2 linked regions of the Notamacropus eugenii genome follow. The protein of the gene in region 1 purifies or fractionates together with the protein of each later gene. This does not show direct contact. Links are inferred from orthologs where the notes say so. Each region holds a gene or a part of one and is shown on either strand. Other genes may lie near its edges.

Region 1 (3,745 bases):
AGCTGGAGTCCATGAACATTAATTTTTTTTAATTATTTAATTTAATTTAATTATTTTTTAATTTTATTCCAATATAATTAGCTTTCATTTGTAATCCAACATTTTATTTTATGCATTTAAAAACACTATTCTGAAAAAGGGATATAGACCAAAAGGGGTAAATAATACAAAAAAAGATCAAGAACACCTGGCTCTAGGGATACTACTGACCATTTTAAGCTTGGAATTTCCCCTAGAACCTAGGCACAGGGTTTAGGCCACAGTAAGTGTTTAATAAATGTCGCATGAATTAGATGAATTCTGCACAAATCCCCTACTGACCACTTAATTCTCTTCTCCATACAGAAAAAAATAACACATAAAAACATAAGCCTTAAATAGTAAAGAGGCTGAAAAGCAAAAAAGAATCTCAGCAGAGAAAAAGCTTTCAAACTAAAAAGGGCCTCAAGTGACACCAAAAAAGAAATTTGCCAATACTAATCAGCATTCCTTTCCCTCCCCAAAAGAAAAATTGACTTTGGAATACACACAAACAAGAAGATAGATAGACAGACAGATACACACACACACACCAGTTTAAATTGTTTGCACAACATGGAAAATGGTACCCAAACCATCACCCACGTTCAAATCAGTTTTGACTTCAAACGTCAAATTGTTATGTTTAAGTAATCAAATATAGACAAAATTGATTTAACTGGTACTATGATTTGATACGAGAAAAGTGATTTGTGACATGGGAAGTGAACATAATTGACTAGTTCAAATAGAGAGGATGAAATTAGGAAAAAATTCAAGCTTTCAAAACTAATCAGAAATACAGGGTACTAAACAAGAAAAGGCCCCAGAGTGAAAAGTTAGCTTCTATTACTCTTCAAACGGACTATGTGACCTTGGGCAAGTCACTTAACTTCTTGATATAGGCCTGTTTCCTCATCCGCTTTGAATCCATGTAGGTAAAAAGTTTCCAATGTTAACATTACTATAAAATAACATGGGGATGCACTGACTCTTTCAATTCATTTGCATCCCCTCTTAGCCTGCTTATGGAGACCTACCTCCAACACTGTCCCTGTCAAACACCCAAAAAAACTGAAACAGTTTACCCTTGCACAAAATTACTTTCTTTAGAAAGAAGAGATTTCTAAAAATTCTCCAACATCTTATTATTGTGTTGTATCAAGAGTTCAAGTCCTTAAAGAAGCTGAAACATAGGAGCAGAACCTGAAATCTTCAGAGGAAGGAAACAGGAAAGGATTGGGGTGGAGGGTCCTGCAAACTAATTGGAGGGGGGGTCCTACAAATCCTGTCTGGCTTGGGGAAAGGGGGTGAGGTGAATGGGAGCAGCATCCGACAGCCCAGGCTTTCCTCAGACCTTCCTCGTCTACGGCTTAAATCCTTGACAGCTGGGGGAGTGGGGGACCCTCTAAAGAGGAAATGTACCCCACGTCCCCGAAACGAGCGTTCCGGTGAGTGATCGCAAGGCTCCCCACGAACCCGCCGGCTACACACACAGACACAGACACACGGACACACGGCAACTGGTGGGGGGGAAGCAAGGGCCCTTCCCCCCAGCGCCCGGGGAGAGTGTCCCCTCAATCACCGCTGTCACTGCCGGCGCCGTCGTCGGATCCGGCACAGTACCCGCCCCCGGATCCCGGCGTGCTACTTTCCCAGCGCGGGCCGCCGTGGCCGAGCTCGGAGAGGCGGTGAGGAATGGCAGGAGTGGGGCTCTTACCTTTAACAGATTAGACGTCGCCATGTTCCCTCAACTTATCCTCTCGCGGGACTGCGCGAGATTTCCGAGAGCTCGCCGGCTCTGCTGCGGCCTCTCCCGCCGGACCTCCCGGCCCGGCCCCGCGCTGCCGATGGGGGAAGGGAGGGTGGCCTGGGCTAGGGGCGCTCTCAGCCCGGGGCCGCGGACTGGTTCGTTCGCCCCCCCTTCCCTTTACATGCTCACGGGGGGCTCCCCCGCCAGGGAAGAGCTCATGCGAACCCCGGCGAAGACCCGGAGACAGTCAGCACAGCGAAGACAAGAAGAGCCGGGAAGGGGGGGAAGAGGCGACGAGCGCACAGCCGGGACGAGCCGCCCCTACCCCGTGAGCTCAGGCCGTCATGGTCACGCCCGCAGCCAATCTCGGGAATACAGGGAGCCCCGCGGCCGAGCTGCTGAGGCTGGGGCCGAGTCACGTGGCCCTGAAGCTGGGGAGGGCTCGGGCCTCGGCGAGCCCCGGGTGAAGCTGGGAACCCAAGGAGGAGGAAGGGGCGGGGAGGCGCCCGGGTCAGCCGTCTCCTGGTCGTGACCTTAAAGGGGCAGAGGCCTCCTTGCTCCGCCCCTTCCCCGCCCCCTCGAGGACATTAAAAAAAATCACTGGTGTGGGAGGAGGGAAGCCGCAAAAGGGGACCAATAGTATGGAGCTTTTCGGGATTCGCCCCATTCTCCACTCCTTGCGTTCACTCTCTGATAGAGAGAGATGCACCTTCCTGCTCCAGACCCTCATGGATCAATCAACAAGTATTGATGAACAATAATAGCATTTATGTGGCCTTTGAAGAAGTGCAAAGGACTTTAGGTATATTATCTCCCCAATTCCCCATGAGTACCTCGTGAGGGGGGTGCCATTGTCCTTATGCTACGGATGAAGCTGAGGTAAGTTAAGTGACTTGGCCAGGGTCACACAGACGTTTATTCTCTGAGCTAGGTTTCCAGTGATGAAGCTCCTGCTAGGTGACAGGCGCTGGGGAATGAATGCAAGAATGAAGCAGTCCCCAAGGAGCTTTGGTCATCGGCGGTCGCTCTAATATTCATTCCCCCTCCAGCCCCTCCCCCCCAAGTCTCCTTCGTCCTTAAAAACATCCTAATGACACTCTCATCTGCTCAGACCGCCGAGTTGGGGCTCCATCTCACTCACGCGCAAACGCCTGAAAGAGCTGCCCATGTCATTTCTGCCAGTTGCCCTCCCCAAGCAAGTCCCTGCCCTGGAGGAGCTTACAGTTTAAAGGGGGTGGGGGTGGAAGAGACCACGAGGGTTGTGGTGAGGACGAAATGAGATAACATTTGTAAAAGCGCTTGACACAGTGCCTGGCACATAGTAGGCGCTATTATTACTAAATATGTTTTGTTATTGTTTAGTGTTCCACTCTTTGTGACCCCATTTGGGGTTTTCTTGGCAAAGATACTGTGGAGTAGTTTTGCCATGGCCCACTCTAGCCCATTTTACAGATGAGAAAATTGAGACAAACAGGGTTAAATGACATGCCCAGGGTTACACAGCTAGTAAGTGTCTGAGACCAGATTTGAACTCAGGAAGATGAGTCCTCCTGACTCCAGACCCAGAACACTTTCCCCATAGCTGTCCCTATTAACATATTCTGTCAAAATATTTTGGAGGCACCTTGTTCTCCAGAGGTAAATAAGACCCAGCAAGCAGGCTGTACACTGCATGACAACAATCCTTTGCACTCTGGATAACCTCTGACAGAGTGCATTGCTTTGACTAGCACTGGGTGTTCACTGCTCCCTATTTCCCAGGGACTTGAGATCCATCCATCACTTTGCTTGACTTGTTCACAATCCCTGTTCCTTGTAGCAGCTAAATGAACCAAACCAGGTACTGTACCCCACTGTGAGACAATCAACTTGGAGACTGTTCCCACAGGACCCAGGAACACCTTGTCCACGCATGAAGCATCCTGGAACAGCTACTCAAGACCTAAGAATAATTATTTCATAGTTCAGCTCACT
Region 2 (3,745 bases), on another chromosome or scaffold:
GTGAAATACAGGTGCCTGCTCCGACCACCACCTATTGACTCGATCCCACCTTCTTCACTTCTAGGTACTGCCATATGGCCCAGGCTTATGCCAGTACAATGGAGACTTCTTCAGGAATATGTCACTCATAAGGTGGGGGGGGGAGGTGGGGGGGGGGGTGTCTGTGTGTGTGTGTGTGTGTGTGTGTGTAACACTCAGGAAATGAAACCGTAAGAGCAGTCTTCACAAGTGAAGCTGCAATGCCACTAGATAGAAACCAGTTATCCAGTCTTCTAAATCAGCACTACAGTACTAATGTTGTCAGTTACATCTTTAACAGAAAATTCCACCTCCATTCAGAAATGAAGAAAATTAAAGTCCTTTTCTAAACCAGAATTTTCACCAACTGGCCCACAATTAGATTGGCAATACACAGCATGGATCCCTTATAATACACTTGGGGAACTTAAGTTTCTAAAACTAAAGTTCTGCTCCAGTTTCAAGAGGACTCAAACTGCTCTGCCTTATGACCCTATTAGCCAAGGAAGTGAACTCTAGAGTACACTAGGAAATACCTCTGAAGAAATGGGAGAAATATCTGAATCCTAATCCCAAAAGACCACAAATCTGACTCATGAGAAGCTACTCATGAAGTCAGAGGGGAAGGATGAAAGGCACTATATAGAAAGTGAAGACCAGTAACAGGTCATATCAGCCTACGTTCAAGAGTCCTGCACCCAGGTCAGGTTAACTGAGAATTCTTAAGTGTGGGGGAGACTTCGGAACCTACTCCTCTACCAGTTATAAAATTCACTAAGTCCTCGAAGAGTAAGTGGAGGTGCCATTCCTCCAGTCTTATTTATTTCAACATGGTCCCTGGAAACTCAAGAAGATCCTATTAGGGGAAGGAGAAGGGGAGAAGGGAAAAGAAAGGGACAAGGGGAAGAATAAGGAAAGATGAAGGGAAGGAGTTTGGGGAAGAATGGGGGAAGGAGCAAGAGGGGTTAGAGAAAGAGGGAGAGGGGGGAGAGATTGAAGAAAAAAAGAGGGGAAAGAGAAAGATAGAGGAGGGAAGAGGGGTGCAGAGGAAGAAAGAGGGGAAGGAGGGGCAAAAGGGGAGAGAAGAGGAGGGAGAAGAGAGGTTTTAGAGGGGGACAGAAAAGGTGGAAAGAAAGAGGGGGGAAAAGAGGGAGGAAGAGAGAGGCGGGAAGAGAAGGGAGAGGAGGAAGACAAGAGGGAGAGAAAAGGAAAAGAAGGGAGAAAAAGGGGAGGGGGTAGGAGTATGCGGGACAAGGGCAGTATCTGACAACCAGCGCCCCCCACCCCTTCCCCGCCGGCAAGCTCACCTCCCCGCCTCTGGCTCCCGGGCCCTGGGGCCTCCCACGTCGGTGAGACTCACAGAGGAGGCAGCCAGCTCCCCCGGAGGCCTCTTGCCGGCCGCATCCCCGTTGGCCGAGGCCCCGTTACAGCTCTTCGTGCGGAAGAGGCGACTGAGGCGGATTCTGAGCGAGCCCTTGCGGGAGGTGCCCAGGGGCGGCCGGAGGGGCGCCGAGGGCTGCTGCTGCGGGGGCGGCGGGGGCTCCACTCGGGAGGGCCGCCCCGGGGGCACCAGGTCCTGCAGCGGGAAGGGCGCGGGCGGCAGCTCCGGGGCCAGGGGTTGCAGGGACACCGATCGGCCGCCGCCGCCGCCTCCTCCTCCGCCCGCCCCCCGGCCCGGGCTGCTGAGCTCCTCCTCCGAGCAGCTGTTGGTCTCCAGGCTCTCGGCCTCCGACTCCAGCGCCTCCAGCACTAGCAGCGCGTCGCTCGTCTCCGTGGGGTCCTCTCCCGCCTGCGGGGCCGCGGCGGGCGGTGGGGGCTGCGGCGCGGGCGGCTGCGGGGCGCACGGACAGCTGCCCCCGGCGGGCCCCGGGACCTTGCTGGCCGGCCCCAGCCCCAGAGCTGCCAGGTGGGCCTCCAGCCCCGCGGCCGCCGCGGCCGCCGCCGCCGGGCCCCAGCCCCGCTCCAACCCCAGCCCTAGGCCCAGCCCCAACCCCAGCCCCGGCGGCAGGGCCTTGGGGTCCAGGGTGCAACGGTGCCGGGGGCACAGCAGCTCCGAGGGCCCCGGCCCAGCTCCCGCCGCCGCCGCCTCCTCCTCCTCGGGCGGCCGCCCTACGTTGCGGAACACCATCAGCTGCGGCGGCCGGGAATTCCGGGGTCCCGGCCTCGGCAGGAAGGGCGGCGGCGGCGGCGGGAGCGGGCTCTGGGCCGGGGGCGGCGGATGGGGTCCATGGCCCGGGGCCGGCGGCGGTAGCGGCGGCGGGGCCGGCTCCGAGGCCGCTTCTCCGTAGCCCAGCAGGCGGCTCAGGACGCGGTACGAGGCCGCCGCTGCCGCCGCCGCCGCCGCCGCCGCCTCGCCGTCCCGGAGCTCGGTCCCCTGCATCGGAGAAGGCGGGAGCGAGGCGCGGAGCGAGGGACCGCAGGGGACTAGGCTGGGCCCCGCCGGAGCCCCGCCCGCCGCGGCCCCGGGAGCGGGAGCGACAGCGCCAACGGCCGCTGCGGCCTCCGCTTCATGGAGCGCGGCGGCGGCGGCGAGGAGGAGGAGGAAGAGGAGGCGGAGGAGGAGGCGGGGGCGGAGAAGAGGGAGGAGGAGGAGGAGGAGGCAGCAAAGGGGAGGGAGGGGGCGGGGGCTCGGGGGAGGAGGGGGAAGCGCAGGCCGGGGAGCCCGGCGCGAGCCCAGCCGCGCGCCGCCGCCGTAAGCTGCCCCCCGCCCCGGTCTAACGTCACTTCCGTGAGTGACCAAGCCCCGCCCTCTTCCCTGCTCTCCTCCCCCACGCTCAGACGCAACTTCCTCTTTTGCCGGGGCTGGGTCTGTGTCAGTGTCAGGATCTGGGGCACATGTTTGTGAAGTGCCTCGCACCGCGACGAACGTCACTCAATTTTCCTTCCACCCTCCTCTTGACTAAAAACCCCGCGCTTCTTCGTTCGCACGCGGTCTTCGAAGTCAAAGTACTTCATTCTTTTCCACCAATATTCTTATTGTCTCCCTCCCCTTCCCTCTTCTCTCCCCCCTCCTCTGCCCTTTCCTCTCCTTTCCTTTCCCACCCTCCCTCCTCATTTCTCTTTCTTCTCTTTTCACTTTCCCTCTCCTCTCTCCCCTTCCAACGTCTGTGTCCTCAGCCCTGGGAAAACTGAAACTTTCCATTCCCCCCACACCAAAAAAAAAAAGGCAGACAAAGTCAAAGAAAGGATCAAAAGTGTCATTCTCTGACCTGACTTGGCCAGGTCTACAGACCTGCCTCTGGAAGGGACCTCAGATCTAGTCCAACCACCTCATTTCCCAGATGAGGAAACTGAGACCCTTGGAATTATAAGAAATTTAATCGGCCTCGGAGGCGAGAATTAGGCTCAAATCCCTGAATCCCAGAGCTTTTTCGACTGTATCACAATGCCTTCTGGGTTCCAGGGCAGCTGTGTTTTATTCTGCCCTCACTCTGCATCCCTCCCTCCCCTCCTGCACATCCTATATCTTGCTTGTGACCTGGAATAGCTGGTAATCTTCCACAGCTCATAAGGCTTGTCACTACAGGAGATTACTGTTCAGAGCCCTGTGCTCAGGTGGCTGAGCACAGTCAGTCAGTGCCATTTGAGCTTCTCAAACAGAATTGGAGATAGTGGCCGGGGATGCAAAATCTATTGCAGGAAAGGAGATGGAGGCATCCAGGTGTAAAGGAAAGAAGGCTGAGCTCAAGCAGAAGACCTGGTCTGCGATAAAGGCTTACCATTTATG

What was found. The genes of interacting proteins can lie anywhere in the genome.
Region 2: the proteins of CUL5 (region 1) and SOCS7 purify together in Homo sapiens (affinity purification with mass spectrometry; 4 studies listed by BioGRID and IntAct, counting the BioPlex papers as one, with this or other methods). This does not show direct contact. The link is inferred for Notamacropus eugenii from reciprocal best matches to the Homo sapiens genes CUL5 and SOCS7.

The regions. Positions count from the first base shown.
Region 1 is NC_092876.1:146,963,206-146,966,950, forward strand, and holds the start of CUL5 (cullin-5), read right to left. Parts: upstream 2,257-3,745; 5' UTR 1,763-2,256; coding exon 1,739-1,762; intron 1-1,738. UniProt on the Homo sapiens protein: Core component of multiple cullin-5-RING E3 ubiquitin-protein ligase complexes (ECS complexes, also named CRL5 complexes), which mediate the ubiquitination and subsequent proteasomal degradation of target proteins.
Region 2 is NC_092873.1:353,876,112-353,879,856, reverse strand, and holds the start of SOCS7 (suppressor of cytokine signaling 7), read right to left. Parts: upstream 2,603-3,745; 5' UTR 2,399-2,602; coding exon 1,326-2,398; intron 1-1,325. UniProt on the Homo sapiens protein: Substrate-recognition component of a cullin-5-RING E3 ubiquitin-protein ligase complex (ECS complex, also named CRL5 complex), which mediates the ubiquitination and subsequent proteasomal degradation of target proteins, such as DAB1 and IRS1.